Linked DNA regions of Ovis aries. The protein of the gene in region 2 purifies or fractionates together with the protein of the main gene of each other region. This does not show direct contact. Links are inferred from orthologs where the notes say so. Each region holds a gene or a part of one and is shown on either strand. Other genes may lie near its edges. The genes, in order: ATP2A1, PLN and ATP2A2.

The links.
Region 1: the proteins of PLN (region 2) and ATP2A1 purify together in Homo sapiens (affinity purification with western blotting, with the first as the bait; 3 studies listed by BioGRID). This does not show direct contact. The link is inferred for Ovis aries from reciprocal best matches to the Homo sapiens genes PLN and ATP2A1.
Region 3: the proteins of PLN (region 2) and ATP2A2 purify together in Homo sapiens (affinity purification with western blotting; 4 studies listed by BioGRID). This does not show direct contact. The link is inferred for Ovis aries from reciprocal best matches to the Homo sapiens genes PLN and ATP2A2.

What each region holds. Positions count from the first base shown.
Region 1 is NC_056077.1:26,449,450-26,453,102, forward strand, and holds part of ATP2A1 (sarcoplasmic/endoplasmic reticulum calcium ATPase 1), read right to left. Parts: intron 3,282-3,653; coding exon 3,196-3,281; intron 3,039-3,195; coding exon 2,741-3,038; intron 2,303-2,740; coding exon 2,136-2,302; intron 1-2,135. UniProt on the Homo sapiens protein: Key regulator of striated muscle performance by acting as the major Ca(2+) ATPase responsible for the reuptake of cytosolic Ca(2+) into the sarcoplasmic reticulum.
Region 2 is NC_056061.1:19,658,693-19,662,875, forward strand, and holds the start of PLN (cardiac phospholamban), read right to left. Parts: upstream 2,949-4,183; 5' UTR 2,714-2,948; intron 1-2,713. UniProt on the Homo sapiens protein: Reversibly inhibits the activity of ATP2A2/SERCA2 in cardiac sarcoplasmic reticulum by decreasing the apparent affinity of the ATPase for Ca(2+).
Region 3 is NC_056070.1:54,282,426-54,286,078, reverse strand, and holds part of ATP2A2 (sarcoplasmic/endoplasmic reticulum calcium ATPase 2), read right to left. Parts: coding exon 3,427-3,653; exon of another isoform or gene 1-3,426.

The DNA.
Region 1 (3,653 bases), on a different chromosome or scaffold from region 2:
AAATAAATAAAAATGAATATATATATATATTTTTTAAATTATTGCATGGCTTTCCTGGTGGCTCAGTGGTAAAGAAGCCGCCTGCTAATGCAGGAGACACAGGTTCGATCCCTGATCCAGGAAGATCCCACATGCTACGGAGCAACCAAGCCCGTGTGCCACTACTGTCGAGCTGTGTTCTAGAGCCTGGGAGCCACAGCTGCTGAGCCCACATGCCATGGAGCCCAAGCTCAGCAACAAGAGAAGCCACCACAAGGAGAAGCCTGCACACTGCAATGAGTGAGTAGACCCTGCTCACCACAACAAGGGAAAAGTTCGCACAACTAGAGACCCAGCACAGCCAATAAATAAATAAAATTATTATTTTTTTAAGGTTATTGCCGGTCACACTGAAGGTCCCTCCAGATCAATTGGTAAAATAAGAGGTGCATCACAAGATGTTCTGGGGACTGCAGCCACCGGTCCACGTGTCAGCACGTGACCCATCTACAGCTCCAGCCTCTTGCAGCGAGATCTTCCAGTTTTGCAGGAAGAACTAGAAACTCAGGTTATTTTTCTATGAAATCTCTTAACTTTTCAAATGGGGGCAATGAGTTCATTTTTATGAAACATGACAGGAGCCCAGTGGCCTGGCTTTGATGCCTGTGCTTTGGAGGGAATGTAGGTCACGCAGCACAGAGGCGAGAAGCCCACCCTGAACCAGAGCAAGTGTGGAAGGGATGGGGCTTAAGACACGTTCCAAGATAAAGTGGTTCTGCGGCCAGCAAAGTCTGGGAAAATCTGGGTTAAATAGAGGGAAATCCATCCTCTCTATGGTCAGCCTTCTCCGAGGCTTTCAAATGCCAGCAGGCCTATAGTACAGCCTTTCTGTGCCTGGTCTGAGAGGCCTTGATTCTTAGGACAGTAATTTCTATTTCACAGACATGCTAGTCTAGAGAATTGTGTTTAGGTCAGGGGTTCTTTGCCTCAGGTCCATGGATGACCCCACAGACCAAGGGATCTGTGAACTTTGATGGCAAAACAAAACTAACATCTTTTCCAGATATACCTATGGCTGATTCATGTTAATGTTTGGCAGAAACCAACACAATACTGTTAAAGCAATTATCCTTCAATTAAAAATGAATTAAAAAATTTAAAATTACGTTCCATTTTTTCTCTGATATTTAGCATTTCCGTCCAGTTATGAATGTGGGCAATGCACCACGTTAGCATTAGCAAAACCTGTGACTTGGCCACCAATAAAATCATAAACACTCTCCTATCACGTTGCATTGTTTCAGGGCTCTCAAAATAGCATTTATACTCATCCCTGCCTCAGCGTTACGGCGCTTATGAGAACTACTGCTGGACTTGCTACTTAATACATTATTAAAGAAGCATATGTGTTATCAAATCACGATTTAAAATATTTTGATTGCTGTGTTTCAATCAGTGGTTTCCTCTGTAATCCAGTGCATTTTATTTCTGTTTTTGCCTGCGCTGCCTGGCTTGACAGGATCTTAGCTGCCCGACCAGGGATGGAAGCTGGGCCATGGCAGCGAAAGCATCAAGCCCTGACCATCAGACCGGCAGGAGTTCCCAATCCAGTGTATTTTAAAAACAGGATCTTGTGTGTTTTATTTTATACACTGAAAATATTAAATGTAGAGGTCCAGACGGCTAAAGGGTCCAAGGCCCAAGATCAAGGGCCCTGGTTTAGGAAATGCCATTTGGGATTCATGTGACCAGGTTCCTCCTGCCCCGTCACACAGGACCACTCTGGAGGGTAGTCTGGTGCACAGGCAGGTACTCCAGGGCCAGATAGACTTGGGTCTGAAACTCAGTTCTGCTCCTTATTAACTGTGCATGGAATTTCCCAGAGCCTCAGTTTCCTCCTCTGGAAAACTAGGTAACAAAACCCTCCCCTGCTGGGGCAGCTGTGGGGGATTAGAGATAACACACGGCAGTGTCTGGCACATGGATGGGGGCCAAGAGAGCTGTCTGCCCAGGACACATGGGCTTCTCTGCTCCCTCTCATAGCTGGCAGGATGGCGCCCTGTGCCCTCTGAGCATTTCTTTCTCAGGCCCGTGATGAAGGAGTCACCCCACCATTTCACCTCCCATCTGAGTGGAAGTTGCCACCCTGCCCTGACCTTGCAGACAGACATCTGGTTGGTGGTGAGGGTGCCCGTCTTGTCGGAACAGATGACAGAGGTGCAGCCCAGAGTCTCCACGGAGGGCAGGCTCCTCACGATCGCGTTCTTCTTTGCCATCCGGCGGGTGCCCAAGGCCAGGCAGGTGGTGATGACTGCAGGAAGGCCTGTGGGGTAAAAGAGGGGGTGAGGGAACTAAACTGGGGGACAGAGGGAGAGCCGTGTGTGTGTGTGTGTGCGCGTGTGCATGCGTGCGCATGTGTGTGTGCATGCACGCGTGCTCAGTCGTATACAACTCTTTGGGACCCTGTGGACTGTGAAGCCCACCAGGCCTCTGTCCATGCAATTTCCCAGGCAAGAATATTGGAGCAGGTTGCCATTTCTTTCTCCAGGGGGATCTTCCTGACCCAGAGATTGAACCCACGTCTCATCACGTCTCCTCCACTGGCAGAGAGATTCTTTTAACAGCTGTGCCACCTGGCTGAAGAGCAGCCCCCAAAGATATCGGGGCCTAATCCTTGGGACTGGTAAATGTTATCTTATTCGGATGAAAGGTCTTTGCAGATGAGAGGAGCAAACGGGAGGAGACAGAGATGTCGCCCTACCCTCGGGGATGGCAGCTACAGCCAGGGCCACGGCGATCTTAAAGTAGTAGATGGCACCACGAATCCAGGAGCCCCCATGTACGGGGTCATTGAAGTGGCCGATGTTGATGAGCCAGACGGCCACGCAGATGAGGGAGATGACCTTGGAGAGCTGCTCCCCAAACTCATCCAGCTTTTGCTGCAGAGGGGTCTTGTCCTGCTCTGTGGCAGCCATTTGGTCACGGATCTTCCCAATCTCGGTGTTGACACCTGTGGTGGCCACAATGCCGATGGCCTTGCCGGCTGCGATGTTGGTGCCCTGGGAAGGGAAAGAAGAGGCAGGGAGTCAGACAACGCCCCTCGTGCTGCAGCTCACCCCCTCAGCTGTGGGCCTCATCTCTTCCCTTGCCGTCACATCTCTCCCAGACCAGGGCCCCCTGGCTAGAGCACAGGACAGCTGGCCCTGAAGGGCTCACCGAGAAAAGCATGTTCTTCTTATCCTGGTTGACAGCTCGGGGGTCGGGAACAGGTTCTGTGTGCTTGATGACAGAGACAGACTCGCCTGCGGAGAAGGGCCGGAGGGGTTTTCAGATGACGTCATGTCCTCTCAGACTTCCCGCCCCTAACTCTCTCTCTTCTCAGCCTAGGAAGGACCAAGCAACAATCCTGGAGGAAGTCTGGACTCTGAAAAGAAGCCCCTGGAGGCAGATGGGAAACTCATTGCCCTTAGAGAAAAAAGGCCTTGACCCCAATCCCTGCCTGACTACTCACAAGCTGCATGGCTTTGGATGACTTAACCTCGGTTTGCTCTTCTGTGAAACAGGGACAATGACGTGTACATTTCAGAACACAGTCTTGGTGAAAATCTAATAAGCAGATGTACGTGGAAGTGCGCTCTCAATTGGAGAGCGCTTTCGTGGAAGGGAGAGGCCCC
Region 2 (4,183 bases):
AACCAGCTGCAGTAAACTGCCATAAAATCTTACTAAAATTCCAGTAAGCTGACAGTATCAGGAGTAACTTTCTAGCCAAAAAGATGTAATCCCACATAACTGATCAGTGGCGTACTAGTTAATGCTACTTTATTGACGGTAGATGGGCATGTGTCTGGAAATTTAAGTAGTATTTCTAAAATGGTGTGCCTCAGTTAATGCAGTAGTTGTTTTCCTGAAATTTACTATGTAAATGAAATTTTAGTAAATGATCTTTCGAACTTCTGAGAACTGAAAAGAATTCCTTTGACAAACCAGGCTCGTTTTCCTATTTGTTTGGTTTTTTTTCCCCCCCAATATTTTTTGTTTATATATTAGATTAACTTAAAATCACCACTCCTCCAAGTTCTGATTCTTAAATCTCGACTGTAATTCTGGAGAAGCTACTTGTTATTTTTAATTTCTAAAATGCTTACAGCAAAGTGAACTCAGCCTGCTTCACTTTCTTATGGGTAACTAAAATCTTTTGCAGCAGCTGCTTATGTGTCCTTAAATGGAGATGATTTTGGCTTCTTCCAAAGAAAGATAAATCCTTTGCTAAAACAAATCTCTTGTTATTTAAAGAATCAGCTAAAACTATCAGAGAAATAATGTTCAGCAAAGGCCCTCTGTGAACATTGCTAAGGGAAAATTTTACAGCTTAAAAGGAAAAGCCAAAATTAAGTAAATTGCATGGACGTTTGACATTTTGCTCAGTATACTATTCAAGCATTTTTTCTTTCAATCTTTACATAATAAGGATGTCTGATTATTATCAATTGCTAGTGATTACCAACATTCAAAACCTAGGGACTTGAAATACAACCCTGATGTGATTTATAGTAATTTGTCAAATATGACATAGCTGCTAAGTGACAGACTGACGGTTCAGATTTGGACCTCTTAGTTGTAATTCTCTGGCAGGTTGGCATGTTAGAGGGGGAAGCTATAGTGTAACATGGATATGCATTTCAGAGAGTAGGGTTCATCAACTAAGAAATTATAAGATGGAAACAGATGAATTATTAAAAACAAACTATTTTTAGCAAGTCTGCTTTAAGTTTGCCTACACATTCATTTGAAAATGAACCTTAGAGGATGGATCATTGCAGTATGAGCACCTCTAGTTCTAAGAAAATAGTATTAGTAATACTTGTATAAAGTAAGAAGCTAGCACAGACTGAATAAAATATGGCCTAGATATTTCACATGTTGGCAGATTTGCTCAAAAAGCCTATGTAGGTTGAAACACGTGCGCGCGCACACACACACACACACACACACACACAAAACACATATGTATACCCAGAAGGATATTAACAAAGTGTATGTGTTTAGAGTTGGAAAGAGGAGATAAAAGTCTACTTTTTAGATTTGTGCAAGAGTGGGGAGCTTTTGTGTCTGCCGTTTTCCTTTGGTTTAGCTGCTGTTGCTGATCATCATTGTTAGTCTAAACGGAGCTCTAGGAAGTGTTACATCTTCCTTTTAGGCTAATTGCCTAAACAGAAAGTTGTATACTAGGAGCTTTGGTGAACTACAGAATAATCAGTAGCTATTTCCTCAGAAATTCCACCATGAAGGTCTAGAAAGTGTTTTTAGAGGTGCTTTGTCAGAATCTTCATTTGGAGTCAGACTATAGTCTGAATCCATTTTTGGTATATATGACCTTATTCAGGCTTCTTTAAGCTGCCTTATCTGTGGGATGGGTTTGTTGCGAGGATTTTCCTAAGATGAAATATGTATATAATGACTTAGAGATCTTGCAGCACAGTGTCCATTTAGTGTTAGTACTTATTTTCCTTTTGAAGATGATTCTTACAGCCCAGGGGTAGAGTCCAGTGCCCTTTGAACTTGGATAGGAAAAATGTTAAAGATCTTTATTTTTACTGAACTCTAAATGAGAGTCAGCCTTTCCTCAGTTGTATGTTTACTGTCACTATAGCCGTCTTAGATAATTTCATATAGAACAGTTGCAGCATATAGCTTGAAATACTGTTCATATTCATATCACTTGAAATTATGCAGTTAAGCTGCCTGTAAATATTATTATTTAATGCATTAATAAAGAAGGACAGAAAAGAAAAAAGGAAATAAAGCAGAAATATTACAACATAAATTTGTTTTTTTTTAAATATGTATTTTGGTGTAATTTCTTTTCTAATGTATGTTTCTCATTTTTTCAACTTTTATTTTAAAACAGTTCTAAATTTACAGAATTAGTACAAATAAACGGACAGAGGAGCCTGGTGGGCTTGCAGTCCATGGGGTTGCAAAGAGTCGGGCACGACTGAGCAACTAACACTTACTTACTTACTTACTATAGTATAGAGGGCTCTTGTATGCCCAACACTTGGTTTCCTCTGTTGTTGACATATCCTACACAAGTATGGTACATTTATCACAACAGTTGTACCAATGATGATACTTTATTTTAAGCAAAACCCGTTTTTTCAGTTTTCCCTGGTGTTCCTTTCCTTTTCTAGGATTTTGTCCAGGACACCAGATTACGTTTAGTAGTCTCGTGTCCTTTGGTCCCCTTGGCTGTGAGAGTTTCTTACAGGACGTCCACAGTTGGGACTTGTCTGCTGTCTTTCTCATGGTGAGGCCGGTTGATGTGTTTTTGAGAGGAAGATCAGAGAGGTAGAGTACCGTTTTCACCACATACCAAGTGTACATACCTATCAGCATGACTTACCAGTGTTGTTAACCTGGACCACCTGGCTGGAGTGAAGCATTCGTCAAGTTTCTCCATGGTAAAGTTACTCTTTTCCCTCTCCTTCCTTCTTTTACTTTCCAGAAGAAAGTTACTGTACACAGCCCACAGTTATGCTTCCCTACCTTAGGAGTGGAGTGTCTATAAAAATTACTTGATATCCTGTGTATTTTAAGATATAAAAACATAAAAACAGATCAGCCAGCTTCAGCCATCTGCCAGAAAAAGTCCATGGCACAGAAAATTAAGAAGTCCTGTGTTGGAGGCGGTTTCTGTCTTTGTATGGGGCAGCCCTTTTTGGAAAGAACACTGACAGGCTAAAACCCAGATCTCCTAGTTTGCTTTTTTAGGTCCTGCTTTTCCAGCTCGTCTCTTATCACATTCCTTTGTATCCTGTGCCCTGGCCCTGTACAGCTGCCTGCAGCTATTTGAACAAGCTATTGTTCTATTTTAAGCCTCCTCACTTCTTGTAGGAATGCCCTCCTTACTAACCTGTGTCCCCGTTAAAGTGCTGTTTCAATTTACATTTTCTGTGCAGCCCTCTCTTTCTTATGAAACACTTCTGCATGTACCCCTATTATTACCTATCTCATTTTATTGTGTTTAGAAATGTATCTGCCCAAGTAAATTGCAAGCTCCGCTGATCCAATAACTCATGTTTATATCCTCTTTATTCCTTATAGTATTATTACCTAGTATAGCACCTTGCTCATAGCAGTTCTTAGATACTGATTGAATGGATGATTGGATGAGTGAATTAATAACGGAGGAACCAGGAAAGATTGCTTGGTGGTACTGAATGATTCTGCAGAAATCTTATAGGCAGTTTAAAAAAAAAGCAACATAACTTTTAAAGCTCATTGTGGGGGAAGAAAATAATTGGGAGAGATGGGGGATAAGAGTACAGCATTGAGAAAATAACTTTCGTGTCATTTAAAAATGGTGTAAATATATTTGTAGAGTAAGAGTGAGGGAATGTTGAAGTATAAGCCTATCCTTCCTAAATTGAATGTCTGTATAAATTTTTTTTAAATTTTATTTACAGTGCTCATTTGATTCATAATAATTCATGGTGTTTTATATACTCTTAACATTGCAAAGCCTGCTTGTATTTATGTAATTACTAGTTTCATTAGTTTTAATTATATTTTAATAGTTAAAAAAATAAGTACCTCTAAATTTATGACCTAAAGAAAAGCCACATCTTTAAAAACATGATTTTAATGTGGACCATTTAGAAAATCTTTATTGACTTTGTTACAGTATTGCTTCTGTTTTATGTTTTGGTGTTTTGGCCACAAGGCATGTGGGATCTTAGTTTCCCCAACCAGGGATCAAACCCACACCCCTTGATTTGAAAGGCGAAGTCTTAACCACTGTACCACCAAGAGAGTCCCCTCAAATTGGGCTACTAACGTATACCTAAATAGTTACATGATCTTGCCCGTATTC
Region 3 (3,653 bases), on a different chromosome or scaffold from region 2:
TTAAAAAAAAATTATATACAATGGGATTTAAAACTGTGATGACTCCTGGTAAAAGGCTCTAGTTCAAACACATATAATTGGTGTGTCAAATGAGGAAAAGATTCATGTCCAAGGTCACATGCAGCAAGATCACCAATTCCTACAGTTTTTTTTCCCTAGCAGATACAACATCTAAAAAAGGAATTTTGGCAGAAAGCTCTTTCCAAAAATGTCTGACATTTACAGAAGAGGAAAAAAAGGAATAGAGAGGTTAAAGGATGTGCTCAAGGTTACACAATTATTAAGTGGGAGAGAGAAACAGGTTTTACCGATCTCTCCTATCAGGAAACTGAACTTTACCTTACTATTAAAAGTTGTGGGACCCTCAGCCATGGCACAATTTCTCAGAGCCTAAGTTTTCTAACCTCTTGAGCAGTATTACCATGTAATTCAGACAAAGTCACATGTGAAAAATTAACTGCACTAAGACTTATTAAAGCAAGCTGGCATCATTATGACTACACCATGTCACTTCTTTAATGACGCTGTTTATAAAGTGAAGCTCTTTGGTCTATACCACAGTACAAAATATTCTAAGACATTCAGAATTCTAACCCACACAAACTAAATCTGAATGCACACAGGCATTTTTAGACTGCAAGCCAGTAAGCCATTTAGAAACTGCATGATGAAAGTACCCCTAAGTCAAGGGCAGTTATGCAACCTACTGCAAGAAACCTCCTGTAGAATACTGATTAGCATCAGCTTTCTGTCCCCAAAGGTAGAACAGAACAAAGAGGCAAGCTGTTTCTTTAACAGAACATTTGAAATCAGATTATTTAAGGGAAAATATAAGAAAAAAAATCCAACATTTTGGGGGACCAAGGAAAGAAAATTTAGGAAGCTCAGTTACAATCTGCATCTACTTAAGTTAGAAGCTTGCCACCTGGACACCCGTCCATTTTTCTTTACCAACTGAGCTATCAGGATCTGGGTTTTGGACAACACAAAGAGCTGAGGGTACGTATATCAAAAAATTACCACAAATTTAAATTCAGTAAGTAAAGAGTCTGAGGGTTCAATGTATTAAAACAAGAACAATTTCTAATGCTAAAAAACCCATTATCTAAAACCCAGAGATAAGGCCAAGGGGCTGATGGCGTGCCCTCCAATGTCATTCAGAAGCGTTACTTAGCAGGCATTTAAAGACTCAGTGCGCTGGAAAATGTTCCCATTCTTTCACTCTGCTATTATAAAAGACTCATGTTTTACGAAGTTGCGGCTTTCTGTCCTCTATAAAAGATGAACTTAGTTTTATTTCTCTGTGTGATATTAACCAGTTTTTATAATGTAACACACACTAGTCCTATTCTAATACTAAGCACTTCCTCACATGTTCCTGTAACCAGTTTTACCATCTTACTGATTTTCTCTCATTGAACTAATGACCCAAACAGAATCTTCGACATGAATTTCATTCAACATTTATGAGTTGTATCTCTTTTGAAAAATCACTTTGACTTGTACAAATGATTTGACTTACAATCATCATGAAATGATTATCAGTTAGTGAATATACATCTTCTAATATAGATACAAAATAAGAAAAAATTGTTTCCTTGTGATGAGAATTCTGAAGATTTACTCTCTTAACAACTTTCACATATAAGGTACAGCAGAGATGGTGATGGACAGGGAGGCCTGGCGTGCTGCGATTCATGGGTCACAAAGAGTTGGACACGACTGAGCAACTGAACTGAACTGAGTGCTGACTATACTTATGTTGTGCACAACATCCCCTAATATTTAACTGGAAGTTTGTACCTTTTGTTCACCTTCATCTAATTTCTCATCCTCCAGACTGATAACCACAAATTTGCTCTTTTTCTGTTTGTTGTTGAAGTTTAATTGACCTACACAATGTTATTACTTCCTGGTACATGGGGTAATGATGGGATATTCCTATACATTTCAAAATGATCATCGTTAAGTCTAGTTATCATCTGCCACCATACATAGATACATTATTACTGACTGTCCTGCACTGTACATTTCATACCCATGACACACTTATTTGGTAACTAGAAGTTTATACTGTTTTTCTCATCCTTCTACCTCAAAGTTGTTTGAATAAAACCTACGGAAATCAAATTACATGAAAGAACTTCATTCAGCTGTATCATTACATTATTTCTTTATTCTGCTTAGGGCAGGTTTAAACAGTTTATTTTATCCTAAAGTGATAGTCAAAACAACATAGGAGGAAGGAAGGATGAACACAAAATGAATCAAGTTAAACTCAATTATTTACTTTTCAAGAAGAAAAACATGTTTCATTCAATGTGTTAAGGAAATACCAATTAGAATTTTATGTAGGCAGATAACTAGCTGGTTTTATACAATTCTTACTTTGAAGCTTGTATTAACATACATACACTTAGAAGAACAAGGAAATAAAGGAAGCATAGTCATCTAATACATTTACAGACTGCTTATAGTTACTTCCCCAATACAAGTGTATCACTCATGTAGATAACTTCTATCAGATAAAATTCAATTTGCTTAAAGCACATAAAAAGGTATCAAATTATAAACCAAAAGTTTTATGATCCAGCAATCCCACTTCTGGGCATATATCCAGAAATTATGAAAACTAATTTGAAAAGATACACGCACCCCAATGTTCACAGCAGCACTATTTACATCAGTTAAGACATGGAAGCAAGTAATTGTCTATTGATAGATGACTGGATAAAGAAGATGATTAGGATTGACAATATACACACCATTATATAGAAAACAGATCAATACTCTTGTAATGCCCTATATGGGAAAAGAATCTTTTAAAGAGTGAGCATGTTATGTATATGTATAACTGATTCATTTTGTGTACACCTGAAACTAGCAACACTATAAATCAACTATACTATAATAATTGCTTTAAAAAAGAAAAAAATGCCACTTGCAGCAACATGGATAGACCTAGAGATCATACTAAGTAAATTAAGTAAGACAAAAACAAATGTGATACCACTTGCATGTGGAACCAAAAAAAAAAAAAGATACAAATTAACTCATTTACAAAATAAAAGTAGACCCACAGACTAGAAAAGAAACTTATGGTTACCAAAGGAGAAAGGGAATGGTTAAAATTAAGAGTTTGAGACTAACATATATACACTATTGCATACCAGCAAGGACCCACTGTACAGCACAGGGAACCATACTCAGTATTTTTTAATAAGCTACGATGGAAAGGAATCTAGAAGAATATACACATATATCTCTGAATCACTATGCTGTACACCTGAAACCAACAAATCATTGTCAACTACATTAAAAACAAAATTTAACAAAACAATAAAGCTTTTAATGATATGAGGGCATATTCTGATGATCAATCAACAACCATAACTCAGAAAAGATTCTTAAACTACTTCCACTTACCCTGCAGACTGACATCTGGTTCGTTGTCAGTGTACCTGTCTTGTCTGAGCAGATAACAGAAGTACAACCAAGGGTTTCCACAGAAGGGAGGCTTCGAACAATGGCATTTTTCTTTGCCATTCTGCGCGTTCCAAGAGCCAGGCAGGTGGTGATGACAGCAGGCAGACCTTCAGGAATGGCTGCCACAGCCAGGGCTACTGCAATCTTAAAGTAGTATATAGCACCTC